Linked DNA regions of Canis lupus familiaris. The main gene of each other region encodes a partner of the protein of the gene in region 4 in a complex. Links are inferred from orthologs where the notes say so. Each region holds a gene or a part of one and is shown on either strand. Other genes may lie near its edges.

Evidence for each region.
Region 1: ARPC1B (region 4) and ARPC3 share a complex: the UniProt entries of both Homo sapiens proteins name them as parts of the arp2/3 complex. The link is inferred for Canis lupus familiaris from reciprocal best matches to the Homo sapiens genes ARPC1B and ARPC3.
Region 2: ARPC1B (region 4) and ACTR2 share a complex: the UniProt entries of both Homo sapiens proteins name them as parts of the arp2/3 complex. The link is inferred for Canis lupus familiaris from reciprocal best matches to the Homo sapiens genes ARPC1B and ACTR2.
Region 3: ARPC1B (region 4) and ARPC5 share a complex: the UniProt entries of both Homo sapiens proteins name them as parts of the arp2/3 complex. The link is inferred for Canis lupus familiaris from reciprocal best matches to the Homo sapiens genes ARPC1B and ARPC5.
Region 5: the proteins of ARPC1B (region 4) and ARPC5L are in contact, whole or in part, in a cryo-EM structure (PDB 6YW6), measured with the Homo sapiens proteins. The link is inferred for Canis lupus familiaris from reciprocal best matches to the Homo sapiens genes ARPC1B and ARPC5L. Residues at the interface, in NP_005711.1 of Homo sapiens: Arg118, Lys138, Arg142, Phe164, Ser201, Gly203, Trp204, His222, Asp223, Ser224, Thr225, Leu240, Ala241, Ser242, Glu243, Thr244, Leu245, Pro246, Phe281; in NP_112240.1 of Homo sapiens: Asn21, Lys22, Arg102, Gly139, Leu140, Gly141, Ile144, Arg145, Thr148, Arg150, Lys151.
Region 6: ARPC1B (region 4) and ACTR3 share a complex: the UniProt entries of both Homo sapiens proteins name them as parts of the arp2/3 complex. The link is inferred for Canis lupus familiaris from reciprocal best matches to the Homo sapiens genes ARPC1B and ACTR3.

The regions. Positions count from the first base shown.
Region 1 is NC_049247.1:8,505,347-8,510,360, reverse strand, and holds the start of ARPC3 (actin-related protein 2/3 complex subunit 3), read left to right. Parts: upstream 1-1,685; 5' UTR 1,686-1,757; coding exon of another isoform or gene 1,758-1,763; 5' UTR 1,764-1,791; coding exon 1,792-1,794; intron 1,795-5,014. UniProt on the Homo sapiens protein: Component of the Arp2/3 complex, a multiprotein complex that mediates actin polymerization upon stimulation by nucleation-promoting factor (NPF).
Region 2 is NC_049231.1:65,984,963-65,990,005, reverse strand, and holds the start of ACTR2 (actin-related protein 2), read right to left. Parts: upstream 3,198-5,043; 5' UTR 3,063-3,197; coding exon 3,015-3,062; intron 1-3,014. UniProt on the Homo sapiens protein: ATP-binding component of the Arp2/3 complex, a multiprotein complex that mediates actin polymerization upon stimulation by nucleation-promoting factor (NPF).
Region 3 is NC_049228.1:16,863,527-16,868,646, reverse strand, and holds the start of ARPC5 (actin-related protein 2/3 complex subunit 5), read left to right. Parts: upstream 1-2,004; 5' UTR 2,005-2,181; coding exon 2,182-2,324; intron 2,325-4,693; coding exon 4,694-4,766; intron 4,767-5,120. UniProt on the Homo sapiens protein: Component of the Arp2/3 complex, a multiprotein complex that mediates actin polymerization upon stimulation by nucleation-promoting factor (NPF).
Region 4 is NC_049227.1:10,284,629-10,289,725, reverse strand, and holds the start of ARPC1B (actin-related protein 2/3 complex subunit 1B), read left to right. Parts: upstream 1-1,894; 5' UTR 1,895-2,041; intron 2,042-5,097. UniProt on the Homo sapiens protein: Component of the Arp2/3 complex, a multiprotein complex that mediates actin polymerization upon stimulation by nucleation-promoting factor (NPF).
Region 5 is NC_049230.1:58,229,412-58,232,698, forward strand, and holds part of ARPC5L (actin-related protein 2/3 complex subunit 5-like protein), read right to left. Parts: intron 1,591-3,287; coding exon 1,518-1,590; intron 580-1,517; coding exon 403-579; intron 1-402. UniProt on the Homo sapiens protein: May function as component of the Arp2/3 complex which is involved in regulation of actin polymerization and together with an activating nucleation-promoting factor (NPF) mediates the formation of branched actin networks.
Region 6 is NC_049240.1:36,616,403-36,621,258, forward strand, and holds the start of ACTR3 (actin-related protein 3), read right to left. Parts: upstream 3,068-4,856; 5' UTR 2,743-3,067; coding exon 2,699-2,742; intron 1-2,698. UniProt on the Homo sapiens protein: ATP-binding component of the Arp2/3 complex, a multiprotein complex that mediates actin polymerization upon stimulation by nucleation-promoting factor (NPF).

The DNA.
Region 1 (5,014 bases), on a different chromosome or scaffold from region 4:
AATGAATGCACATAGATTTGCATATAATATAAATGAGCATCTGTGGTACAGTTAGGACTCAGTCTACCTTTATTTTTCCTGTTTGATTTTTGTTATTTTTGAGGGTTTTTTTGGAGAGGCAGGAATTATTATAACAATATACACATGTGTGTCCAAAGGAAAAAATCTAGGATATAGTTAAGACCATTGCTTATTTGTATGTCTGAATTTTCCTATATTTGAAAATGTATCATTTGTGTAATTAAATGAAAATTAACTTTTAAAAAACATATGTATATAAATAAAATAAATATAAAAATAGTGCTAACTTTTCATTACACTCCTGTTTTTTAGTCAGAATCTGAAATACTCATCCAGGGCAAATTTTTGAATGACTAAATTTGCCCAACTGTCAAAATGTAGCCAGTGATTTCTTTAAAAATGCAATTGTGTCTGAGCATTTAAAAATTTATACTTTCCTGGGTAATAATAGCAGATGCACAAAAAAGGCAAAAGACATTTTTTTCTTCTTAAAGAAAAGAATTGCACCTTGATTGAATTGTTTATTTTCAGTAGCATTGGGTATGAAAGCAATGGGGAGTGTCTAGTCCATCTGTGATGGGCTAGGCCCTGTTAAGAAAAGCAGAATCTAATTTATTGAGTTCTGCCAGACCTTGTGCTAAGAAACATTTTACATAATCTCTTTCATTTAATCCTCATTACAGCCCAGTCTTCCTTGGCTATTTGGGCCTGGATCTTCCAGCTGATACAAATTAAACCCTTACAGAAAACTGGAAACAGGTTAAATTTTTCATCATTCTTGGGCTAGGTAGCAGGAGTACACCTGCAGTGTCACGTTTGATCCATTTTAACTAAAGATGCCCCATGTGTGAAGAACCACAGCTATCAGTGGTAACTTGTGTCTGGGAGGTTAGGCCAGGGGCATAAGTCAAGTATTTGCATCCTAGTCCATCAAGGTGAGCTATTGTACGGTGGAGAGGTACGGCCAGCAGGAGAGAACTTGAATGGGCATCATGGGAATGTGCTGTCCTGTGTCAGGACTCTTGTCTGTGGCCCTGAGTATGAAAGGGTGAGAACACCCTGATCTGCATAATTTTTAGAAATTTTATTGTCGTAGAAGAAAGGAAAGTCAAACTAACATTTGAAGTGCTTTCTAAGATTAGGTTAAAAAAAAAACAAAACAGGGCAGCCCAGTGGCTCAACGGTTTAGTGTCTTGCCTTCAGCTCAGGGCATGATCCTGGAGGCCCAGGATCGAGTCCCACATCGGGCTCCCTGCATGGAGCCTGTTTCTCCCTCTGCCTGTGTGTGTCTCTGCCTCTCTGTCCTCCTCTCATGAATAAAATCTTAAAAAAAAAAAAATCATAAGGAAATCAGGATGACGCAGAGGAGTGGGGTAGGACTGAATTTAAAATAATGTGATCCAGAGAATGCTTTCCTAGAAAGATGAAATTTGAGGAAAAATCAAGGAAGTGGTGGATGCCGAGGATTCTGAAACCCAAGATCTAGCCCCATTTCGCGCACACTTTACCATGCACGGCACTCACAATCCCTACTCAGTGCTCGGGCGCCCTCTGGCGCCCCTTCGTCCCTGCGCAGCCGCAGCAGCTTCCGGCGGGACCGCGAGACCGGAAGTGCCGCGTCCTCCCCTCCCCCTCTCCTTCCGGCTCACTTCCGCCTACCCCGCCCGGGCCGCCGGACAGGAAGCGCCGAGCTCTATCCCCAGCCTCGTCTGGCTAGAAACCCGGTCGCCGCCAAGATGCCGGTAAGGAGGCCAATTCGCAGTGTGGGAGATGGTGAGAACTGGGAGAGCAGCGAGAAATCATGCGTGAGCTGAGAGAAGTGGGCGGAGGAGGGCAGAGAAGAAGCGGGGCCTGAGAAGGGGAGAAGCTAGGAAGAGGGGCCTGTGGCTGTAGGATGGGGTTGCCCGGGGGTGTCGGCGAGGGGGACGGGGCCGGAGCACCTGGGGCCAAAGACCCTGAGCGTGGAGAGGAGGCTGGCTCGGCCCCTCTCGCCCTCTTCGCTGCAGTGCTGCCCCTTCTCTCCTTCTTTCTGTATCCCCCGACTCCAGCAGAATCCCCAAAGATTCACTGGAGCCGAGAAGACAAGGGCTGTGCTTTTTATTTTCCATTTTTCAAGTCTAGGATCCGGCTGCTTTTTCTTCCCCCCACAGGCCCACTTCCTCCTTGGCCCCAGGGGGCGGGTTCCTCCCGCTGCTTGTCACTGCCATACCCCACTTCCCGGACTCCTCTGTCTCCCCAGCAGTGGCGGCCACCCCTAGCTGCTGGGTGTAGGGCCGCCAGAGCAGACGCAGGGTCCGCTCCTGGTTTCCAAATGCTTCTGTTTTCGTGTGCATCAGAGTAGGAGCAAGATGATAGTAGTGTCTGGTTGTCCTTCATTTCTGACAGCCAGTCTGGTGGAGTGAATTCACCACCATCATGGTCTCCATTTTGCAGATGAGGTAAAGGAGGTTCAATAACGTGATAAACTCACTCAAAAAACATTACTGAGTACCTGCTGCATGCCAAGTACTGTTACAGCAGTGAATAAAGCCAACAAATCCCTAGGCTCAAAGAGTGTACATTCTAATGGGGAGACAGCACAAACGTGTATATGTAAATTGAAAAAGATAGTTTTACAGATTTTTTTTTGAGAGAGAGTGCCAGCAGGGAGAGGGGGTTAAGTGGCAGCAGAGGGAGAGGGACTAGTAGTCTGCAACTTAGTGTGGAGCCAGAAGCTCTATCCCACCAACTTAGGATCATGACCTGAGCCTGTCGCTTAACCGACTGAGCCACCTGGCTGTCCCTAAGATAGTTTTAGGTAGTGACAAATGCAATGAAGGAAATAGATGGGTAACAAACAAGACAGCTAGTGAAGGAGAGGGTGGAGGCTGCTTTAGGTAAAGGATTACTGATGACAAAGAGGAGCAAGCTATAGTTAGAGATACTTAATGAGTCTTGTTGGTACCATTCAATTCCTGACGTGTGCCAGACTGGCCCTGAACTATACACTGCATGTAAGTTACTCCATGTTATCCTCACAATAACCCTGTGAAGTCCATGCTTATTGTTCCCGTATTGCAGAGAAGGAAATTGAGGCCCAGAGAAGTATGATAACTTACCCAAGGTTGCAATATTTCAAGCTATGACTTTAATTTTATTTTATTTAATAAAGTTATTTATTTTATTTATTTGAGAAGAGAGAGAGTAAGCCCTGAGCAGGGGTGAGGAGCAGAGGGAGAGAGAGAAGCAGGCTCCCAACTAAGCAGAGACCCCAACATGGGCCTTGGTCCCAGGACCCTGAGATTGTGATCTGAGCTGAAGGCAGATGCTTAACCAACTGAGTCACCCAGGTGCTCCTTAAGGCTAGGACTTTAAAGTCCTGTGCTCATTCCTGGATTTCCCTGCGATAACTTATTTAATATCTGCCTCTTCCATTAGCCTGAAAGTTCTTCAGGGGCAGAGATACTGGTCTTGCATACCATTTTTTCATGATGCTTTGCACATTGAAGGTGCTTGATAATCGTTTGGTAAATGAATGAATATATGAATGGGGCTTTTCTGTTACTAAAAGCCAGACATCGGGGATCCCTGGGTGGCTCAGCAGTTTGGCACCTGCCTTCTGCCTGGTGCCTGGGACGTGATCCTGGAGTCTGGGATCGAGTCCTGCATTGGGCTCCCTGCATGGAGCCTGCTTCTCCCTCTGCCTGTGTGTCTCTGCCTCTCTCTCTCTCCCTCTCTCTCTCTCTCTCTCTCATGAATAAATAAACTCTTTAAAAAATAAAAAATAAATAAATAAATGGGATTTTCCCTGCTCCTTTAACTCACTGAGGGCAGTAGATAACTCTTCTTTTTATGAATTTGGAAACAGGTGAAGAGAAGTGATGTCTTGGTCAAACACATAGCCAGGAAGTGGCAGAACTGAAAAGCCAGTGTTTGGGTTCTGGTTTAACAAGAGCTGGTGGGGTGATGTACCCCTGATTTATATAGTGTCTGCCTATTTCCATAGCATAAATACTCCCACCAGTTACCAATGTGATATCACCGAATATGGGATTGGAAGATGCACAGTAGCACACCATTATATAGCATTTCTGCCACAAAGATACAAAAGTTATATATAACCTTAAGATCATAGACAGTAGTAAAATAATTTTTAAAAATATGAAGTAATGAATTTTCAGCATTTATCACATTTGTTTTCAATATAATGCACTTAAATGCAAATTTACATAATTTAATTTTTAATAATGGCTTTTTTTTTAAGGATTTTCTTTATTCATGAAAGACACAGAGAGAGAGAGAGAGGCAGAGACACAGGCAGAGGGAGAAGCAGGCTCCATGCAGGGAGCCCGATGTGGGACTCAATCCCTGGACCAGGGATCACACTCTGAGCCGAAGGCAGACACTCAACTGCTGAGCCATCCAGGCATCCCATTAACGGCTGTTTTTAATAACCAGCTTGCCTCAATATTTTTCAAAATTCCTCAAAACATAGATGCTTCTGGCTGGCTCAGTGGGAAGAGCATGCAACTCTTTTTTTAAAAAAAATATAAAGATTTATTCATTTATTCATGAGAGAGAGGCAGAGACACAGGCAGAGGGAGAAGCAGGCTCCCCACAGGGAGCCAGATGCAGGACTTGATCCCGGAACTCCGGGATCCCTACCCAAGCCAAAGGCAGATGCCCAACCTCTGAGCCACCCAAGCATCCCAAGAGCATGCAACTTTTGATCTCCGGGTTGTGAGTTCGAGCCCCATGTGGGGTGCAGATTATTTAAATAATTTTTTTAATTGCTCAAAATTGGGAATCCCTGGGTGGCCCAGCGGTTTAGCACCTGCCTTCAGCCCAGGGCGTGATCCTGGAGTCCCAGGATCGAGTCCCACATCAGGCTCCCTGCATGGAGCCTGCTTCTCCCTCTGCCTGTGTCTCTGCCTCTCTCTCTTTCTCTCTCTGTCTTTCATGAATAAATAATTAAAATATTTTAAAAATAATTGCTCAAAATTTAACATTCAGT
Region 2 (5,043 bases), on a different chromosome or scaffold from region 4:
CCCTGGGTGGTGCAGCGGTTTAGCGCCTGCCTTTGGCCCAGGGCACGATCCTGGAGATCCGGGATCGAATCCCACGTTGGGCTCCCGGTGCATGGAGCCTGCTTCTCCCTCTGCCTGTGTCTCTGCCTCTCTCTCTCTCCGTGACTATCATAAATAAATAAAAATTTTAAAAAAATCTTAAAAAAAAAAAAGACTAACAACTATTTACATAAGTTTTTAGAAATTAAATTTGAACACCTTAGTATTTACTTGTAGATAACTCAGTATAGCTTTAGGTACCTAAACTAAATCAAGAGGACTATGAAATATAAGCAGTAAGAAATAGAGAATTTCTGTATTTAGAATACTCTAAATTTTCAGAAATATCACAGCATTCCTAGCTACATATTACATCAGAACTATTTCTTCATTTGAAGCCAGTCAGGTCTATAGAAAATTCAGATAAATTTTTAAAGTAATTAGAAATGTAACACCAAATACATAAATTTTGTTCAAATTAACTACATTTTTCCTTTACTGATCTCTTAAAGTACAAGAATCTTAAATTATGGATTAGCCATAAGCCTAATCAGTAACATACAATCAGCTTTCTACCTCAGGTAAACTAATGAAATAGTAATAAAAAAAGAACTCATGGCTAACACTCCTATTCTAATTGAATATCAAAAAGCTCATACACTACAAATACAGAGCTCATTATCATTCGAAGAGAAGGAATCCACTGAAATATAAAGGCTCTGATTTCTAAAGGGAATATAAAATATATCTACAAAAATATTTTAAATTCAATTTTTAAAGTCTTAGATTTATTTAGAGGTCAATTTGAGACTACAGGGGGAATCAAGCTACTTTTTTTTTTTTAAAGCACCTTTAACTGACTTTCAGCTATAAAAGTAATGTTTGTAGTTAATTTGAAGAGTCTCATGTTTTCTTAAAAAACAAAACAGACCACTTTCGAATAATGCAGAAGAGTCACAAAGCCTTTCCCATCTTCCCTCCCTCTTATCCCCAAACTCACAGGGTAACCTCTACGAACTTATTTCTCCCTCTAAAACTTTAGAAGTTTGTGGACACAGAAACATATTTACATGTTTCCATAGTGGTGGATCTTTTCTCTTTCTTTTTTTTTTTTTTAAGTATACGATTTTGAACGGATGTCCCATGATTATATCTCTTCTTACTCTCTTGTTTTTAACTTAGTTCATACAAAACTAATATAATCATCGCTTCTGAAAGTCTGTAAAACAGTAAGGGTAGTATTATGCCAGTAAATATCAGCTCTTTTATTTTTCATCCCAACAATCCAATTTCCAGAATATTTTAAAATTCAAGTAAAAAAATTTTTTTTCAGGTGTACAACGTAGTGATTTGACAACTGTATGTCGTGCCTCCCACACCACAGATGTAGCTGTCATCGGTCATCATATAAGTGCTGTAAAGATGCCACTGACCAGATTCGTACTTGTCATCCCTGTGATTTATCCACTTCATAACTGGAAGCCTATTTTCTTTTTTATTTTATTTTATTTTTTTTATTTTATTTATGATAGTCACACAGAGAGAGAGAGAGAGAGAGAGAGAGAGAGAGAGGGGCAGAGACATAGGCAGAGGGAGAAGCAGGCTCCATACACCGGGAGCCCGACGTGGGACTCGATCCCAGGACTCCAGGATCGCGCCCTGGGCCAAAGGCAGGCGCCAAACTGCTGCGCCACCCAGGGATCCCTGGAAGCCTATTTTCATTCGTATGCTACATTTATGGAAAAAAGAGGAGAAAAGTCATAAAATACCCTAAGTCCAAAATGATTGGAAATCATTGCAATGGGACAGCCCAGGTGGCTCAGCTGTTTAGCGCCTGCCTTCGGCCCAGGGCGTGATCCTGGAGACCCTGGATGGAGTCCCACGTCAGGCTCCCTGCATGGAGCCTGCTTCTCCCTCTGCCCCTCTCTCTCTGTGTGTCTCTCATGAGTAAATAAATAAAAATCTTAAAAAAAAAAAAAAAAAAAAAGAAAAGAAATCATTGCAATGTAGGGGCAAATGATCACTACAGAACTCATCCATCCCAGTAACACTTCTGTCTCCTAATGTGCCACTCCAAATAGGTTGCGTTTTTTTTTAATGGGGGGAGGGGTTTGAACGCAACAACTTTCACATGATTTCTAAATCAGTGTTTAGCCAATTTTTTTTTTTTTTTAACAATCGTCTGTCTTTTGGAATCTTAAAAACTTAACATGATCTGTGTTTCTGCATCTAAGGAAGTAGGATGGGGGAGGGAGTTACCAGAATTGGTGAACTTCCCCTGCAAGGTCCACAATGAACACTTGAGCCTTAGTGGGGGGGGGGGGCGGGGGGTGTCCCAGATCTCCCAAGATCAATGGACACAGACGTGCCTCTGCGGAGGCTGCACCGAGGCCAAATTCCCAGCCTGCATAACAAAAAGTAAATGATGCTTGGCTCCACGCTGCTCCCTCACCCCCGGGTAAGGGGGGAACAGCTCCAAAAACTGCGGCTGCCCGAAAACTGCGAAAGGGCTGCGGCTCGTTGCATGACAGCACTTCCCCCTTTTTTTTTTTTTTTTCTCTCCTCGAGCTCGTTTCCTGCCTGCCGTTCGGTATCTTCAATTCTACAGGAAGAGGAAGGCCCTCCTGGTGCTTCTCCCTTCTACAGAAGCAGCGACCCTGGGGAACAGAATCCTCATGGAGCAGACCTACCTGCCCGGCCTTTGACCCCTGCAGCCCTCTAGCCAGAGCATCCCCGTTGGGCGCGGCGGCGGCGGCCGGGCTGCAGGCTGGGTCCCCCCGGGCCTCCCCATCCCCCACCCCACCCCTCCGCCTCCAGCGTCCGCCAGGCCCGCCGCCCCGACCCCGAGCTGCCCCGGGTCAGCTCGCCCCCCACGCCCGCGGAGGCCGGAAGCGCTGCCCCGCGCCCCCGGGTCCCGGCGGCCCGAGGGCCCATGGGCGCCGCCGCGAGCGCCGAGGGCCGCCGCGCCACCAGCACGTCCCCGGCCGGGCGCTTACCCCGGTGCCGTTGTCGCACACCACCACCTTCCTGCCCTGGCTGTCCATCGTCCTCCCGGAAGAGAGCCGCCGCCGCCGAACGACCTACAGCCCCCGCCGCCCGGCCCTTTCCTCTTCCTCCTCCTTCCTCGCGGCCCCTCCTCCGCCCCAACTTTCTTCCACCAACCGGAAGTCTCCGCCCGGCCCCACCCGCCGTTTAAGACACGGAACGCACGGAAGGGGCGGGGATAAGAGGGCGGAGACAGAGACTGGCAGGCGTGAGGTCCAATAAGAGGCGGAGACGCGACGAGGCCCCGCCCACAGATCGGGTTTCCGCCGTCGCGGTCACCGCCCACCCGGGCTCTTCCTCGCTGCTTCCGGTTCCGGGAGCTTCGCCGGGCTTTCATGGCGGCGGGGCTGGCGGGTGCTGCGGTCCCGGGCGTCGCAGGAGTTGAGGGGGCTGCTTAGCTGTCTGCAAAAGAGGCAGGCAGGAAGGTGAGGGACCGTGCATCCGTGGCGAGAGGAGACAGCGGAGCGGGCGGACGCAGGGGAAGCAAACCTGCACGTCCCTGCTGACCCCACCTTTGAGCACGGCTTGCGGTTGTCCTTGCTCCCCAGGCCTCTTCGGGGAACAGAACTGGGCTGGATACACACACATGAAGTCATGCGTTTGTCCTGATATCTCCCAATTCCAGCCCACCCCCCACCCTTTTTGCCCAATTTGCCTTTAGTCAAGAGGGCGGTAGTGGGCACCTACCTTTTTAGGCCCGTGGCTCACCACTTCCTTTCCAGCAGCACCCCGCTGCTCCACACTCTCCAGTGTATGCACCTGTTTGCACCCAGTCTCGGCTTCGAAATCCAGCAGCACCTCGCTACTCCACACCTTTCCAGTGTATGCACCTGCTTGCACCCAGTCTCGGCTTCGAAATCCAGCAGCACCTCGCTGCTTCACACCTCACGCCTCTCCAGTGTATGTACCTATTTGCACCCAGAGTCTTGGCTTCGAAATCCAGCAGCACCTCGCTGCTTCATGCCTCTCCAGTGTATGCACCTGTTTGCACCCAGAGTCTCAGCTTCGAAATCCAGCAGCACCTCGCTACTCCACACCTCTCCAGTGTATGCACCTGCTTGCACCCAGTCTCGGCTTCGAAATCCAGCAGCACCTCGCTGCTTCACACCTCACGCCTCTCCAGTGTATGTACCTATTTGCACTCAGAGTCTCAGCTTCGAAATCCAGCAGCACCTCGCTAGTCCACACCTCTCCAGTGTATGTACCTATTTGCACCCAGAGTCTCGGCTTCGAAATCCAGCAGCACCCTCGCTACTCCACACCTCTCCAGTGTATGCACCTGTTTGCACCCAGAGTCTTGGCTTCGAAATCCGACGACCCCAGTTTCAAATACGGCCCTGCCACTCAAGCATTCTGTGATTTGGCCATACCCTCGCCTATGCATTGGAATGCTAACCTCTGCTTCCATGGCTGGTTGTGAGGATAAAATTCCATGCATAAAGTATCCATTCAGTGGTAGCTGTTTATTATTAATTACTTCTAAATGTATCGTTCTTTCTACCTATAATGCCTCTACCTTTTTTTTTTTAAATCCAATCAGGAGATGTCTGCACATCTGCACAAAGATGAAGACTTTGCTGATAACCCTCAAGATGCTCTTTGCTCTTTTTCTTCACTAATTAGTTTATCATGGATATATGCATAATATCGCGCTCATTACACTCAACAAGTATTGGATAAGTGATGTCAAAATTTACCTAGAAAAAAATGCCAGCATTTTTGACAGGTGACAACTACAATTGTGCCTTTCACATGGCTGTGTATGTACAGCGACTAGAATAAAACTTGGATCATGAATCCTTCAGTCCAGTATTATAATAGGCTGCCTCTCAGTTTTCACCTCTTTCTTTTATTAGACCAGTTTATTTGAATTTAGTCTTCTTCTTTTTTTTTTTTTTTTTTAAAGATTATTTGTTTTAGAGAGAGAGTGCTTGAGCATGGCAGGGACAGCAGGAGAGGGAAAGAGAGAATCCGTAAGCA
Region 3 (5,120 bases), on a different chromosome or scaffold from region 4:
GTTAATTTAAAGAAATGTCACTTCTATCACCTAAATGATAAATTTTCCAGAAGGGTGGTTTAATTGGGAGGAGAAAAATGCCATATTGCTTCTTCCTTCCAAGAAGAAAGGGTGCATTCCATTCCTGTGAACTCTTTCAGTCTCTCTCCATATATTTATACATGTATATATATCCACATACATACATATACAACTATGTATATATGTCAGTGTAGATACAGCTATACATATATACATATGTATGCATATCTGTCCCACAAATGTTTGATTTTGAGATCTCTCTTCCTTTTCTTACTGATTCATTATGTTCAGTGTGACTTTCAAACTGTACTGCCTTTCACATTTTATTCATTCATCAATGAATAATTGAGTACCAGAATGTATTGAGCACTGCCTGCATGCTTAGCATTACATCAGATGTAAAGCAAGATACAAAATAAATAAAAGGCAAGTCTTTGCCCTCCAGAATCTTTTGATCTCTTCCAGGAGCAAGATAAAACATGATATGTCATTAAGTAATTCGTAAGACTAACGCCAAAATCAATGGTACAAGTAACATGCATTTTGCATCTATGTAGAATTTTAGAGCTTCAGAACACTTTCCCGTACTTAGTCCTCAGAACAATCTCGCGAAGTACGTTATTATTAGCTCCACTTTAGCAACGAGGAACCTGAAATTGAGGATTTTAAGTGGCATGCCTCAATCAAATAGATTATGAGTGGAAGTCAATACTTCAGCCAGGGTTTTTGATTCTAAGTCCAGGGCTCGTTTCAATACAGCACAGGAAACCAAGGATTGGGGTATCAACAGGGCAACAGCTGGCTTTCTGCTAGAGGTGGAATTGAACGAGACCTGAGAGGATGTCAGGAAAACATAAAGCTATCTGAGCAGCGTCCAGCTAAATGTCCAAAATAATTTTATTCTGCAAATATTTGTGCTTCGGTGTTACACACACAGCACAACTACCATTTCTTTAGTGTTAGTGCCTTTGCCTCCTCAGTAAGGGCTTTGCTCTCAGAAACGAGGATGTCCAATGTAATAAAAAGCTGGCCTAGCAGGATCATATAAATCTCAAATCACAAATATAAATCTTCATCTCAAACCTACTAATCCTCACACGTTTTGTTTCCCCACAGCACCGGAGGGCATAGCTCGCCCCTATCCTTTTCTTCCGTGCTTGCTCCAAACCACCACTTATTTTTAAGATGCCGGTGACTGACCCTACCCCAAATTCCACAGGTCCGCCCCAGGTCTGCCACGCGAGCCCTTGCCCAGAACCTCCGTCTCCCTCCCCAAGGAGATGATACCTAGTTCAGGCTCTGCAGGTGCCGTCGGGATGCTGTCACACAGCACAGCCAGATAAGAGACGACCTTTCGACTCCGTCCTTGGGGACTTCCCGCTGGCCGCGCGGCGTAGCTCCAGCCCCGGGAAAGGGGCTCCCGGCTCAGGAACGCAGCCACGGGCAGCGCACGGTCCCAAGTGATGCCTCTGACAACTAGACCGACGCTGGGCGCCCGGGCGCGCATCACTCCGCCCCATACTCCTGCCAACTGCAGGGGACTCGGTCCGGCCACCAGTCCATCCCACCCCACAGGCAAGTCCGGGCCAGCCGGACCTCACGCAGGACCCCGGCGACAGGTCGCTGGCGGCGGCGGCGGCGGCGGCGGCGGCAGCAGGAGCCACCCGCCCCCAGAGCCCATAGCCGCCAGCCTAAGACCCCCGCCGCCCCCCTTCCGCGGGACCGCAGAGAAGCGTTGCTATGGAAACCCCCTGGGGATCACGTGACGCCCGCGGACGGCCAATCGCCTCTCACCTCTGCCCGCGGCGCCGCTTTCGGCCCGCCCCCGGCCCCGCCCCCGCCCGCCCCCGCCTCCCTCGCCCCGCCCCGCCCCCTTCCTGCCGCGAGCCCGCGCCTGCGCACTGCGCCCGGCGCGCCGTCCCTCGCGCGCGCGCCCGGGAGGAGCGGGGGCGGCGTGGGCGGCGGGCGGAGAGCATGTCGCCGAGGAGGAAGGAGCGCCGCCAGCGCGCAGGCCCAGAAGCGTCCGAGCCGCGGCTGCCGGCGACGCCCCAGAGCGGAAGAGGGAAGTGAAGGCGCCCGGGCTGCGGGTTCCTGGTGGGCTGCGCTTCCCGAGGGCGAGGCAGCACCGAGAGGAGGCTTAGGCCGCCGGTCCGGCTCGCGATGTCGAAGAACACGGTGTCGTCGGCCCGGTTCCGGAAGGTGGACGTGGATGAGTACGACGAGAACAAGTTCGTGGACGAGGAGGACGGGGGCGACGGGCAGGCCGGGCCCGACGAAGGCGAGGTGGACTCCTGCCTGCGGCAATATCCTTGGCGTTTGCCGGCCTCCCCGCGCTCCCGCCCCGCCCCGCCCCGGGACCCCGCGACCCCGCCCGGGGACCCCGCCCGCCGGGCCGCTCCCGGGGCAGGGGCGGCGGCTCTGGCCCTGCGGGGTCCGCCGGACGGGCGGCCGGGGGCGCTCCCGCGTCTAGCCGAGTCACCCCGGGTCACCCCGGGTCACCCCGGAGCCCGCCCCCGCCCCGACTCCTCAGGTGGCGGCCCGAGTCGCTGCCCCGGGAAGCGGCGGGGCGGCCGCGCCCTCGGGGCTCGGAGGGGAGGCCTCGGCTGCTGTCCGCCGGCCCCGGGGGGAGGGGCAGGGGCCCGGGCCCGAGGTCACGGAGGTCCCCCCGCCCCTCCGGAGGTGTGCGATTGCGGGGAGCGGGCTGCCTGCGTCGTGGTGCTGGCGGTTCGCTCTTCGGCCGCGTTAGGAGAGTTCATTCCTCGCGGGGAGGCATGGGGCGGTGTGCACGGTCGAGGCCCCCTGGCCTTTTTAGCCCCTGGGCCCTTTTAATAATTATAGTTATTTACAGAGAAAGGAATTTGTTGCAGATACGAATGTGTTAGCCCCGGGGAAACGGAGTGAGTACGAAACGGCCAGCTCCCGACAAGGAAGCTTGGAGGCTTCTACCTGCGAAGCAAGGGGACAATGCACAGGGATGGCAGGTGGAGAATCCCTGGAAATATTTAAGATAAGCCCCAGTGAATAAAGTAGATGATGAGCAAAATAGACGATGAGTCATTTTGCGCAAAGCAGCATCATTTTTTATTTTTTTTATTTTTTATTTTTTGCAATCCTGAAATCCATTTCCATTTCAGTTAAAATGCGGCTGTCAGTTCCTGGGGTTTTTGGTGTTGTTTTTTTTTTTTTTTTTTTTTTGCATATTTGAATATTCATCAGTGTTGAGCGAGTATTTGGCACCACATCTCTTTTAGAAAAATGTAAATGTTGCAACAGCTAAAGCTGTAGTTCTAGAGATTCTCAATTACTGAATTCACTCACTTCTAATTATTCTTGAATGTATTCATAAGATAGGGAAGACTTTTTAAACCTCTCCTCATCAATGTTCTATTAAAGTATAATGGGGAAATAGGAGTGAAAATATTGGTTGTGACTATATCTAGTCTTAAAGGCACCTAAAATACAGCATTAAACATTTACCAACATACAGATGTTTCTTTGATTTCCACAACTCTCACAGTCAGCTGTTGCTCTGTTGCATTATTTAAATACGTAAGTGCTTTAAGGTCTTAAAAATGAGCCAGTCTGCCAAAGGAAGCTTTTCTAGAAGTTTGTTAAGCCTTGGAAATAACAGCTTACCACCAGCCATAGGGGGTTTTTGTTTTGGGGTGTTTTGGTTTTGTTTTGTTCTTTTTTTTCCAAACATAAGCAATGAACATTATTCTGTCTGAAAACATTCTTTGTAATGGATAAATGACGTTTTGTGAACTAACTTTAGGTTGATGGGTGCTGACTCTCAACTGGTACGGCTGGATCCATAAAATGGATCTGCTTTCTAATCTCTTTATCTTAAAAGATATTGTCTCTTCTCTTGTTGCAACCAGAAGAGACCAGCTCTAGTCAGGCACTACAGATGGAGGAACAAATGAACTCTGTGGTTTTCCTTTTAGGGGAATGACTGTATATTCTGACAGTCTGATTGGCCTTCCGTGTCTCATACTTGCTAACTCACTGGTGCTTTCAAAGACTAAATTTAATAGGTATGACCTAAAACAGTGTCAATGACCTTTTTGGAAGTATAAGAGAAAATATGCAAAACAGAAAAATTAAGCTACAGCCTAAAGGACATTGAATTATTAGATCTTTTGTTAATATTGAGAGGTTACTAATGTGTATCATGTAGAGTGCTGGAATAATTACCAGCATTTTCTACAAGTATTTCAATTAAGATAGAATATAATTCTAGCAAAAGTTTGGTCCATATTTTTCCAGTTAAGAATCACATAAAAAGACATTTTGGTTGAGGGTATGCTGTTTCATTTGGGGACCTAATAATTCTAATACGTAGATATGTAATTTAAAATATACGTATCACTCTGAATAATGTTTCATATGTGTCTTACTGGAAAATAAAAGGCTCTCGAAGTGTTCATTTAGTAATTAGAGCCAGGCCGGAACTGGTCTTTGCCTTATTACCTCCTCTTATGTTCTCTGTGTTTTACATGTGATTGACATCCTTGAAACCAACATACTGAGTTTTCCAATATTGAACATAGCGATCGTGGTAATTTTTCTTTCTACGTATAAAGTCAAGTCTTAAGAACCAATGATACCTGGTAGTTCCGATGTTTTTCTGAAGGCTCCCCTTTGCTGCTATCCCCTTAACCTCCATCACAGGAAACATGACAGCCGCCCTACAGGCAGCTCTGAAAAATCCCCCTATCAACACCAAGAGTCAGGCCGTGAAGGTGAGTCAGACGCTGGTGTCTTAGCATTCTTTCCAAAATCCTCTGAAGTATCATGGAATCAACAAATAGTTTAACTGTTTATTGTCTTTGACATACAGGAGCTTACTCTGTGTAGTTTGTTAGGTAAAAATTTACATATGAAAATAATCTCACTCTAATACTGAGTTATGAGAGACCATTTCAGTGTGTTTAATGGAGGCACTCGAGGAATTGGAGCATAGGCCTGAAGAATAAACAATACTTTTACAAAATAAATAGATTCTATTTGGTTGCTTTTTAAAAATTTTTCTAAATTATCCAAGTATTAAATGTTTATAGAAAACTCAGAGAGAGGCAAAAAGGGGTAATCGTCAT
Region 4 (5,097 bases):
TTATCCTGAGTTTGCCTCACTTTGCAGAGTCCGAGATGGAGGCAGCCCTGCAGGAGGAGTGCCTTGTGCGAAGCTCATTTATCTAAGACTACTCGTCGGGGTTCCTTCCTTCATCCACTCATGCAGCAGGTGCACGAGGAGTGCTTCCCAAGCGCCAGGTGCAGGAGGGCTTCCAGAGCAAAGCCAACCCGGTTCCCGCTCACAGAGTTTATAATCTGTTTTCACCATGAGGAGGTAACCCTCAGGTGTTTAGATGTGTCCGGATGCTTTTAGAGATGGGTAACACAGTCTCAACCCAAACCAAGCTTAAACAGTAGAGTCCTCGGCTCACCGGTCCCAGTGGTCTGAAACCTCTGGAAGCTGGTTGGGCTCAAGCTGACCAGTCAGAGTTTGACCATGGTGCTGGTCATTTCTGGGATTTCCTCCACCTGAGCTCTATGTCATCTAGCTTCCCTTGTGCTGTTCCACTTTCGTGTTCAGATTCTTGCAGCTCACCCAGAAGAGTCTTCCCTCCCTTCCACCACCACCACCACCATCATCATCATCATCATCATCATCATCATCATCATCATCATGTCCTGGGCTTGCAGCAGCAGCAGCATCATCATCATCATCATCATCATCATCATCATCATGTCCTGGGCTTGCTTTACCCTGGCCATCTGAGCTCATGAGCTCAGGACAGGGGACCCCAGGAGCCGATGGGGTTAGAGCCATCAGGCCCATGCCAGAGGTGGGGGTCAGCTCCCCCTGGGGTCATTCCCTGGGCATCTAGAAGCCAGGGAGGCAACAGATGTGCCCTCTGTGTTAAGTTGCACTTGTCCCCCACAAGAAGGGGGTGCTGGTACAGATCATCTGAAACTTTTTCTGTTCATCCCGCAGCCATGCTGGGACTGGCCACAGCTAGATGGGAGGGCGGCGCCAGCCCCTCAGAGTCTCAGCCAGGAAGGCTGCTGGCGGTCCTTTGGTCCTTTCAAACCATAGCCGAAGCTTGCTGAGCGCTCACTGCGCGCTCACTACTGGGAGAGCTCCCACGTTTGGAGACATGGAATCCTCCCAGCCACCTTGCAGGGGCAGGATTCAGTGTTGATGGCAGCCGGGACTGGTGGGCGCAGGGTCTTGCTGGGAGCCCCGCAGTCACCTCCAGGGCAGAGGGTTGTGGACAGAGTGAGCTAAGAGACAAACCCTGCAGGGGGGGGACGGGGGGGGGGGGGGAAGTGTTCCAGGCAGAAAGAAAACCATGTGTCAAAGCCCCGGGACCTGTCAGGGTGGGCGTCTGGCCCCAGATCCCGATCCCCTGCCTCCGGAAAGACCACAGAGCCCCAGTGCGGCTTGCTGCTGCCTGCGCCTGGGAGGGAGGACTCCTGGGGAGGAGCCCCCCGCTAAGAGAGGGCGCAGGAGGGGGTTTTCGCCGGGGGCTCCCCCATCCGCGCAGCCACCTGGTCACATCTCCACCGATGAGGCAGAGGCTAAGGATAGAAAGACCCCTGGGGACCACTCGGCCCAAGACCCAAATGCATGTGGCCACAAGGCCACCAGGCAGCTGGGAGGCAGGAGTGGACTGCGGCGGATCCAGGGGCAGGAAGTCGTCAGTGCGAGCCCGCGGGCACCCGGCCCCGGGAGGGTGCTGCGGCGGGCACGGGGGGCGGGGCAGGGGCGGGGGAGGGGCGGGGGCCGCCCGCCCGCCCGCGGGCACCCGGTCCCGGGCCTGCACTTGCCGCGCCCCGTGGCCATCAGCTCCGGGAGGAGGGAAGGCGCGCACCCCGCCCAGCTGCCGCTCCGAGCCTCAGTTTCCCCGCGCGTAAAGTTGCAAGGGGCGGTTGCGGAGGAGCGCCGGGCGCCCGGGCTCCGCGCAGCCCCCACCCCGGATGGGTGGGCGGGGCCTGGGCTCTGGCCGCCACCCTGGTTGCCGCCCCGGTCCCCGCGGGGCTGAGGCTGAGGCCCCGCCCCCGCCCACGAGGAAGTGGCTGCGGCGCCGCGCGGGGCCCAGAGCCGGTTCGGCGCGTCGACTGCCCAGAGTCCGCGGCCGGGGCGCCCCGAGGTGAGGGGGCTGGGGCCGCCCGCAGGGGGTAGCGGGGAGTTGCCTGCAGGTGGGGAGGGTGCGGGGCGCCCGCGGGGGCGCAGGAGCGCGGGGAGGGGGTGCCCGGGGGAAGGGGCCCGGGGCGGGGGCTCGCCAGGTGCGTGGGGTCGCCCGGAGGCGAGAGCAGGGCGGGGACGGCGGCCCGGGCCCGGGGTGGGCGGCCGCCTCGGGGCGAGGGGAGCGCGGGGCGCCCTGGCCCGGCCTGCGCTCCCCGGCTCTACCCCGCGGCCGCTGCCCCCCGCTATTCCGGGCGGCGAGGGCCCCACGCCCAGTCACTTCCCCTCCATCCTCCAGCCTTCCGGGTTGCTCCGGCCGGGAAATGAGCTGGCGCCCCCGCCCACCTGGCCCCTCCCCCGCGCCCCCGCCCCCCGCCCCGGCCCTCCGGGCGCCCCGGGGCCGGGGCCGCCGACCCTACCCGGAGGGGGTCCCCCTTCGCCGGAGGCGGGGACCCAGCGGGGCCGCCCGGGGCGGTGACAGCAAGGCCGGCGGGACTAGCGGGAGCCCGGAGCCCGGAGCCCGGAGCCCGCCGCCCGCCTAACGCGGCGCTGAGCTGGAGGCCGTCGGCGGGCCCCCGCGCCTGGCAGGTGGTGCTGCCCCGGCCACGGGCACCGGTTCCCGGGAGGCCCCCGGGCCGGGGTTGAGCGCGCCAGCTTCCTTAGCAGGCCACCTGACGGCTCTGGACCTCAACCTTCCTCCTCTGTAAAATGGGGACCTTTCAAGTGGCGAGGCTTACCTGGGATTGTGTGTGGAAGGCACTGGGTTGTGCCAGGCACACGCTGGGTACAGGTCGGTGCTCTTCCTGCTGCCACTACCATTGTAGGGCCTGCCCGCACTTACCAAAGTGTCTGGATGATGCTAACCTCTGAGATTTGGGGGTCAGAATCCCAAACTGCCATGTAGGAGCTGTGTGGCTTTGAGAGATTCTTGTTTGTTTTTATTTATTTATTTATTTATTTATTTATTTATTTATTTATTTATTTATTTATTTTTAAAGATTTTATATCTCTGTTCATGAGAGACACACACAGAAAGAGGCAGAGAGACACAGGCAGAGGGAGAAGCAGGCTCCCCGAGGGGAGCCTGATGTGGGACTCAATCCCAGGACCCCAGGATCATGACTTGAGCCAAAGGCAGATGCTCAACTACTGAGCCACCTAGGCATCCCCGATTCTTGACTCTGAGTCTTTTTCCTCATGTACAAAATGAAGGTTTAAAAAAACACGAAAGAAACCCAAAACAACCCTTTAGGCTTGCTCTTGGGGGTAAAAGAATGTATGTCAAAGCTGTGGGTAAAAATGCTGTGCATTTAAAGATGCCGGTAAAGGTAGTTTATGTGTGTCTATGTACATAATCCACACAGGTCTTTTCAAATAGTTAAATGATATCCCAACATGTTAGTGTCACAATTTACTCTTGCCATATTTGTAGTCATCTGGATTTTTCCACCCTTCCACCATTCTAGAGGGGGTTATTATGAACATGTTTGCTTAAAAAAAAAAAAAAAAGTCGGTGGTTATTTTCTTAGCACCAAAATGAATCTATGCCACCAAAGAGTGTTAATTTTTAAGTTCCTGTTTGTGTTATTCTGCTTGTTCCTACCCAGTTGTTGAATTGTTTTTACATCGCTCTTCTGAAAGGCTGAACAAATGAGAATTTCTCCACAACCCTGCCAACATTGAGTTTTATGTGTTTTTGGATTTTGTTTTGTTTGGATTGCTTTATTAGTACGCTTTATGGTGCTTTCTATGATTGTTTTCATTTATGTGTCTTGACTTGATTTTTGCCTGGTTAAGACTTCAGGAGCAGAGTTGGGGAGGAGGTTTTGGCTGGTCTGGGGTGGCAAGGCCTATTCCATACACAACAGGAAGTTGAGTAACTGCTTAGCACGTGTACAAAATGGCTTACTGGCAACTCCCTGGAGCGTCTGAGCTGGGTGGGGACTTCCCTGAGTGCCTGTAGGGCCAAGATCCTGCTCCAGATGGCTCCTGCCTAGATTAGCCTCAGATACAGCCAAACCTCTGGCTTCAGAGAACCTTGGCCAGGTTTTTCTAGAAGCAATAAGGAACCTACAGCTAGTGCCTTGTTCAGCCCCCACCTTTTCTGGTAGAGATGTGAAGGAAGTATTGGCTGAGGGCATCCAGTTGGTATGGAGAGTTAGAATTTGACCCTAACGCTGTAAGGAAGGAGCCCTGAGGCCCTCGGTCAGGCAGCCCAAGGCTCTACCTGGCTTGCTTTGCTCTGAGGGGAGCTGAGTTCTTCCCAAGTGCTCAGCAGAGGATCTTCTAGATTTCAGATTTCCAAGTTTTGCTAATCATTGACCCTAATCAGGAAGAACACAAAACAAAACTGAACACATACTCCCCAGTAAATATTTACAAATTGCATACATATGTCACTGAAATAATAAAGCATATTCATTCCTTGGAGCCTATCCCCTAAAGAAAAGGATGGGATTTATTCAATTTGCCTTCAAGAAATACGTATTGAGCACCTGTTATGTGCCAGGAACTCTAATTGGTGCTGAGGATACGTGGGTGGACATAGCACCTACCATGCCCCTAGATAGTTCGCGTCCATACCCCGGTGCATGGTTTCTGGCATGGCACCCTCTGGATGGAAACCACACTCTGGAGACCCAAAACCCCTCCCAGACCTCATGCCGCTCTTCCCTGTGCTCTCCCACGCCCAGCCCTGGGTAATCTCCAGCCCATTTGTACTGAGCCTTCACTGTGTGCTGAAAGGACGCAGGGAACGTGCCGCTGGGAACACAGAGATCCTGGCGTTAGGCTGGCAGAGGGGAGCCAGCCAGGGGAGACTCCACATTTGACCCACACTCCCCCAGCCTCTGTTTCTGGGATAATGAGGCACAGATCACTGCACGTGGACTCCAAGTCCCAACACGGTTCCTCTCTCTGTCCTCAACAGTCAAATGGGCCCATGGTGCTGGCTCACGGGGCTGCCTTGACAAGTGGGTGGGTGTCCTGGAGGCCATGGCCTCAGCCTCCCTTTGTCTCCCC
Region 5 (3,287 bases), on a different chromosome or scaffold from region 4:
CTGGGGGCTCAGCCTGCGTTCCTGAGACCCTCCCCAACCACCATCTCCACCAACGGGAAGCAGCTGCCTTCGCTGACGCAAAGAGAGTATTCTGAAGCCCCAGCCACAAGCAAGCCTGCCTCCCTCCCACCTGGGACTCCCTGTCTATCTCACCATGCAAGTCACCTGTGCCCATGACACGCCTGGCATAAATCAGCAGCTAAAGCAATTCCAATTACCAAAGCCAGTGAACCCTACCAGGTGCTTCTATGGAAGAAGTGAGTGGCCAGAGTCGTCCTACACTGCTGTTCGTGGAGCCCCTTACTCTCTCATGCCTCTCAGACTGTCCTCTGGCCTGCGCACGTGAACCCCAGGGTGGGGGCAAGTCAGCAGGCCACCCGTGTGGGCGGTGCATTCACATACCTTTTCGTGCCACTGGAGTAGCACAGCGCTGCTGTTTTCTGTGGGCTTCTCAAACCCTTTATAAATGTACTTCATTAGCAAGTCAATGCCGTTTCTGTCCAGCGACTGCACAGCCTGCTCAATCTCACTGCTCTTGAAGTTGGTAAGCACCTTCAGCACCACGCCCTGGGCTCGTTCCTGTGAAGGAGAAGGAGGCAGCGATGCCCAGGGCCAAAGCCCAGGCACAGGAATGCCCCACCAACTGGTCAGAATTCTCAGAAACACTGACCAATTACTGACTTGTCTGGGCTGCTTGCAAAATAAGTGCTCAAATCCTCTCATTTATTTACATGTCAACATATCCCTTCTTTATGCCCATAAATTCTTCCACTAATCTGGGGGAGAGTGAGTGGTTTACTGGGGAGAAACCTGCCTCTATGACATGGGCCGGGCCTCAGATGCCACCAGATCACAGCTGTTTTCTTAACATGTCTATTTTCTTCACAGGTGTAAGAAAAGCTGCAGTCTCCCTCTGCACTCACCCCAGTAACACGGGGGGGGGGGGGGGGGGGGGGGGGCATTTCCCCCCACCAAGGAGGTGCAACCGCTGCTGACATCACCATGCTGTCACAAGATGGCAAAACCCCAGCTTCAGAGAGACCCCTCTCCCTGAACCCAAGTTCAGACAGCTTCTAAGCAGCTGTGATGCAGTAAGCATCTTCTCCCCTTCTTTTTAAAAGGCAGGAAATCTTGACTGAAAATCCTTATGCAAATAAAGCCTATTCAAAAACCTTTAAAGCAGAAACACTGCTAAGTCCCATGTGGCAAGCTAATTTAGAGTTTTGCTAAGCAGTAAGGGCTGGGCCAACTTCTCACCCCCATGAGGCCCTGGGGAGGAGTGAATGTTTCTTTGGGGAGCTTTTACTATAAACATAGACAGTTTTGATGTCAGGAGTGCCAGGAGGCTTCCATGGAAGCACTGCCCAGTGCCAACTCACTCTCTTGGTAGATCCTCACTGAGGTGGACGCAAAACAGACCCTGTCTGGAGCCCCAGGGAGCCCTCAGCTGCGGACACAGACAATCACAGCCCTGGTGCGAGCACCACCCAGCAAAGCGGCAGCATGATCCCCTTTACCTTCACAGCTTGATTCTTGGTGTTGACGGGAGAGTTCCGCAAGGCTGCATGGAATGCCCGAAGCATGTCCCCTGTGCATCACCACCAGTTAAGGATGGCTCGGCTCAAGCATGTCCACGCTTCTATTAATGAACTCATTTCAAAAACAGCTCAAAGGAGAAGAGTCAAATGACATTCACATCCACCACCACCCCCACACACACACTTCACTGCAGCTTCCAGGTGGCCACAGCCCATTTAGAGAGTAGCCTATAGCCTTCCTGAGCCACACAAAGAATAGAGAGCACCTCTGCCAATTGTGCAAGTCCCTCGTTCTGCTGCCCCCAAAACACATTTGGACATTTCTCCCCTACCATGGAAGGCAGAAGCAAAGCAAGTGCCCTCTGGGGGTGACCTGCAATAGAATCTGACTGAGCTCACTTGCACTTGCTTGGTACTGGGCACCATGTCTGCCCTGCTGGGTCCTCACGATGATGTGAGACTATCCCTCTCACATTCTCATTCTCAAAAAGGAAGAACAAAGGCACAAATGGAGGTCTCCTCTTTATCCACTGTTTCATTGGTTAAGCTGCTAAAGAAATTAAGATGTGCTAAAACTTCTATCTTCCAAGACCTATCCAGGTCTGTGAGGTCCCAACTACTAAGAGGGAGGTTTATTCATTTAAAAGCTTTTTCCCAAAATATAAGCCAAGCCTTCCCTCTCCCCTCAACCTTAGTTGCAATCTTGACACATTCTTTGCTGAGTTCTGAATACACAGCACTCAAAAGAAAATGACAATCTGGGTTAGGTCCCCAAAGGTGACACCTATTTTAAACTGAATTACATCAGCCAACTTTCATTTCCTCATCTACAACACTGGCTTCAGCCAAAAAGGTTCAAAAATAGAATAAGGAATGGCTTCTGCCCAAACAGGTCTCTACTCCTGTTTGTGCAGTGAATCCTACGTGTGAACAGACAAAGCCACCGGAGCAAAGCCCAGACCCATCTTCCCTAATATGGGCTCCATCTTGACTAAGCTGGGCCCACACCACCCAGGAGCCACTCCTGCTGAGCTCCCAGCTCCCTGCTGGGCCCTGATGCACCTTCCACAATGGAGGCAGCCCACTCCTTGTATCTGCTGGCTTGGAATTCCTTTTCCTCAGCCAGACAAGGGCCAGTCTGGTGTCAGCCACTGATAACGTCTACCTTGGAACTGTTTTCTGGTTTGGCGTTCCAGAGCAATTAATTAACAGAGACTCGGGAGTTTAAAAGAAGTGTAGGCTGGCTCTCTTCACTAACCAGTATGGCTGGAAAACAAAATCATTCAAGAGATGGATGGGGAGGGGCAGGTGAACTAGTCTGCAGGGGCAAAGAGTCACTGCTTTAGTTACCTCTGTACCAAGCAATCACTATAAGTGCTGATGGATACAGAGCCTTTACCAGCTTGGGGGATATCTGGGGAAAAGGGAATGCACAGCATTTATCAAGGTGGCCTCCGTGCTCAGCTCACAGAACAGGCTGTGGAGGCTACAGACCACTGCCCCTCGTCTCCTCTAGATCAGAATTTCTCAACCACAGCACTGACATTTTAGACCACACAACTGATGTGAGGTCTGCATGACATGGTGTTTAGCAGCATTGTGATAATCAAAATATCTCCAAACAATGCCAAATTTCTTCAGGGGGAGGAAAAAGTGCAAAAATGTTCAAAACCACTGCTTTGGACAGATCCCTAGTCCTGAGGACCAGAAGGTTCTTCAGTGAGGAAAAAAAGGAATGAATATTTTAAA
Region 6 (4,856 bases), on a different chromosome or scaffold from region 4:
TTTCCTAAGGCTTACAGCTTTTCTTGTGGGAGAACACCAAGTTTCATAGCCGGCCACTTTTTCCTGTCATCTTTTTCCTAACTTATATAATGAAATGGAATGATCATCCAGATTCAGGTTATAACTCTTCATTTATATTAAGTGGGTAATTGTAATTACAGACCAAATAGATGAATGCATTCTCTAAAGCACAAAGGAACACACAAATTATAGGTGAACAATTTGCATCTGGGGACCACAGTACTCTGAAACATAAAACTCCCATGAAGGCCTTACTTAAATATGCTTATCGCAGGCCCAAGCTCAATGAGCCATCCTCTATGTGCTAATAAAGCTGCAGGTATAACTTTCCAGGAGTTGCATTAGATAGCCACCACAAAGGACCATGAAACCTTTAGAAGACCAAAATAAATGGAGCTCTGACAGATGGTAAAAAAGGTGGGAGACAATGGGGACTCCTAATCAGTTCCATTTAAACCATGAGTGCCCATTAAACCACCTCACCTTGTGAAGTAAAACTAATGCAATAAGGTAAAATATAGTAACGTAATAATTGAAATACTAAAACAAAAATAATCCTAAATGTAGACTGAAGCCCTTGGGGACCTCCCGGACACTCAGCCTGTCTTAAATTCAGGGTTGCCCTAGCAGGAGGAGGTCAGCTAAGGACAGTCAACCTCAATGATTAATACCCGAATACTAACTCAAAAATAACCAGAATTTATTTCAAAAGGGGAAAAATGGGGGAAAAGTAACATTCTAGTTACCATTAGCACTACAATTATCCACACTAATTTTATTAACCCAATAATTTCTAAAGCATAAAATATTAATTATATAACAGTATTTCTCACTTTAACAAAACACACTTGAGGGACACCTGGGTGGCTCAGTGGTTGAGCGCCTGCCTTCAGCGCAGGGCGTGATCCTGGGGTCCCAGATAGAGTCCCACGTCGGGCTCCCTGCATGGAGCATGCTTCTCCCTCTGCCTGTGTCTCTGCCTCTCTGTGTATCTCTTATGAATAAATAAATAAAATCTAAAAAAACAAAACAAAACACCCCACACTTGAAAATTCCTTCTCACTCAGGACAAATCTAATTTTAAAACTGACCCTAAGCATGAAACTACTCCTCAACTGGATCGGGGGGGGGGGGGGGGGGGGGGGGGGGGGACCTGAGTCAAGAAAATTAGGATTAAAAAAAACAATAAAAAAAATATATATATACAAAAAATAAAAATAAAAAAACAATAACTTTAATAAGCTGTCCATCAAAACAATACATTTAGAAGTTCCACGGCTAAAAGTAGGCTGGTATTTTCCAAAGGAGAATAGGAGAATGTTAATAAATCGGCTGTTTCCACATGCATGGCTGGGATTTTTGAAACTGTTACACTAACAAAGTCGTGAGTATGAAGATTAGAGCTTTAAAAAAAAAAATAGAGCCGTTTTACGGGGAGTAAATGGAAAGAGGGGCATACACAATCCTTGATGCAACGAAGGTCTGCTGGATGATAGAAGGCAGGGAGCAAGGGCTGACACTCTACCTCTCATAACCGACTCCCCCTCGGTGTATTATTTTGCGAATTAGGAATGAAACAATGTATCAGCACAGGACGGACACACACACCCTCCCAGCGCTGCAAGGGAAACAAGTCGTTCCACGTTAAAGTACAGACTATTTCCTATGAAAACAACAGTGTGCCAAAATCCCAAAACGCCTATTCATACACTTCAACGCCGTTCTACACGTCTACACGCGACCCTGCGCACTGGAACCCCCCGAAAAGCAAGCGCACCCCGCGGCCCCACAGCCTCCGAGGCCCCCCCACCCCCCCCACCCCCCCCCGGCGAGCGCGCGGCCTCAAGGACTTTCCTGGGGCTTCCCTTCTCCCCCCCTTCCCGGAAAACACTCGCACGTCTGTGTTCAAGTCCCTACAAACTGATGTCGAGGGCCCGTAATTCAATCCATTTCAAATATGCTCAATCCTAAAAGTTCTAATACGAGGTGTTCAGGTTGGAAATGAAAAACTACCTTATAAGGGTATAAAGGGCTGAAAGCAGGAAGCGGCTTTGAGAAAACTAAGGAAGTTGCGGCGCGCTTGCTCACTAGGGGACTTTTTTTTTTTTTCCTTTTTTTTTTTTTTTTTTTTTTCTGTCCGAGGCAAGACGAGTTAACACATGACATCCTTCTCTCTCAAATTAAAATGTGCCCGTGGCTCACCGGTGCGAGCGCAGGAGGCGGGGAAGCCCGGGGGTCGGACGAGGGGCGCGCGGCCCGCCCGGTGGAAGCCGCGGCCCCGGCTCGCAGGTTCGGCGCCCGGGCGCCCCCTTCCCCGCCCTCGGCCCGAGCCGCGCGGGGTCCCCGCGACCCGGAGCACCCGCCCGGCGTCCCCCGCCCGTCCGCTCGGCCCCGGCGCGCCGGCAGCAGGAGGAGCCGAGGGGCCGGAGGCTGAGCGCCGGGCCCCGCAGCGCCCACCCGCCCGCGGCTCCGGGGGCACCTCCGGGGGGACCCCGCCGGGACCCCCGCCCCCGCCCCCGCCCCCGCGGGTGACGCCCGGCCGCACCGCGGCCCCGGCCCCGCGCCCCACCCCCGGCAGCCCGACGCCCGGCGGCCGCACCCCGCCGCGGCGCATCCCCGCGCCCGCACCCTCGCCGCCATCTTCCCAGCTCCGCCTCAGTTTCCCCACCCTCCTTACCCCGTGCCACAGTCCACCACACAGGCCGGCAGCCGTCCCGCCATCTTCCTCCTCGCCTGCCGCCGCCGCCGCCGCCGCCGCCGTCTGCTCCGTGCGGATTGGGGCCGGAGCTATCTGACCATCCACAGCCGGGCCGGCCTCTCCGTCCGGGGGGAGCCGGGAAGCCGAGGCAGCAGCGAGCAAGCAGCAGGCTCGGCCAGCGGCTACCACTTCCGCAACCCGGGCGGGCAGGCAGTCCCCGCCCTGCCCCGCCGCGGCCTCCTCCCCCTCTCTCTCCCCTCCTCCTCCCTCCGGCCCCCACCCTACAACTTCTTCCCCCCGCGCCGCCTGGCCCCGGGAAGCCAAGATGGCCGCCGGCGCCGCCGCCCCGGCCAGGCCAGGCCCAGGCCGCCCGCGCTCCCCCTTCCGGCTCCGAGCGGGAGGGGCGAGGGAGCATGCGCAGTGACGTGGCCCCGCCGGCCGCGGCGCCCGTCCCGACGTGAGCGGAGTCCGCTCCGGGCTTTCCCGGACGGGAGGGGCGGGGCGGGGCGGGGCGAGCGCCCGGGGCTCCTGGAGCTGCGGGAGCGCCGCGGCGTCCGTGCCTCCTGCGCTCGCCGCCCGGCGCCTGCCCCCGCAGCCCCCCGCAGCCCCCCGCGTCTTCTCCGGGGCCCCGGGGAAGACTGGCCCAGTAGAAAACGTCCTGAGCGGCACGACACATTCTCGTCGCTTGGAGACGCTGCTTTTCTGGGTGGAGGAGCGCGCGGGCAGACGGAGGGCGAGCGGTCGGGAGGGTTGGGGCGAACAAAGGCTTGCAGCCGGCTGCTCCGCCTTCCTGCCGGTTTCTAGGCTTTTGCACCTGTGCGTGGGGACATTGTCTGGGTCGCAGACGCCCGGGGGCAGGCCTGTCCCCGCGAGGAACACACCCCCCCCGGGAGCACCTTCCACATCACGCACTCTGCGCGGATAGTCGGTTATTCGCCGCTTTCGAATGATGACAAAGATGCCCTCAGCAGTTTAAGATTCTGCTGTTTTGCCGGCAGGATTATGCCGATGATCAAGGAGCGAAAATAATGATAATAATAAGGGGGAAAAAGGTCACATACTGGACAGCCTAGAACAATGGTTTTCAAATTTAAGTGTGCATCAGAATTACCGAGAATGCTCGTTAAAACCTTGATTGCTAAAAACAAAACACACAAAAAAAAACCTTGATTGCTGGGCCGCATCCGCAGAGTTTTTGTGTAGGAGAAGGGCCTGGTAACTTGCATTTCCAAGACGTTCTCAGGTGATGGTCTGGGACCCCACCTGGGGAACCTAGAAGTTTAACAGCTTTCCACCAGGCTTGTCTTCTGATAAATCTTCCATTTGCTTATATGGCTGAAATAAAAATATTTTCCCTAAGAAAGGATGTCTTATGCACAATGGTAAGTTGTTAGACTGGGCAGTGGGATGGAAAGTGGGTTTTTCATCCGTTTGACATGTTAAGTATCGCTCACATCCTCCATTATGGCAGGGATCCTGCTGCCTCTGAATAGTCTTTGGGCACAAAATACAGAAGGTCCCTGCTCTCAAGAGTTCACAGTTTAATGGGAACATATAAATTGTGTTAAAAGCATTAGAAGAGAGCAACAGGCTACAAGATACAGAGATGAGGGTGGGAGAATGTGAGGGAAGTAGAATATAGGGAAGGCTTCTCGACAAAGTGACATTTTAAAGGTGAAGTAGAAGATAGGGGAAAGGGTGAGGAGGAAGGGGAGCCGTCCAGAAGGGGGAACAGCAAGGGTCAAGGGCCTGAGGTGGCAAAGAGCTTGGCCTCTTTCACAAATTCAAAGACCTAAACGGTCCAAGTGAAGTGAGCTAAGGAAAATGCAATGGGAGGTGGAGGCCGGGAGTTAAGGAAGAATCACACCACAAGGATTTGCAGACTTCTCCACCAATCTTAAAGTTTAGCCTAAAAGCAGCCTGGAAGGCATCAAAGAGATTTAAGCAAGGAAACGTGGCTGCTTTGTAGGGAATGGACCCCACAAAGTAAAGAGTGAAGTGAAAGGTCTGATAATACATTGTGTGCTATAATTCAGGGATAGAATTATGTGAGCAGTAACACCCAGATGGGATCAGACATGTGCAGAAGACCAACGTAGGGGAATCATCATGACCAACTAGTGCCCAGCAATCCACA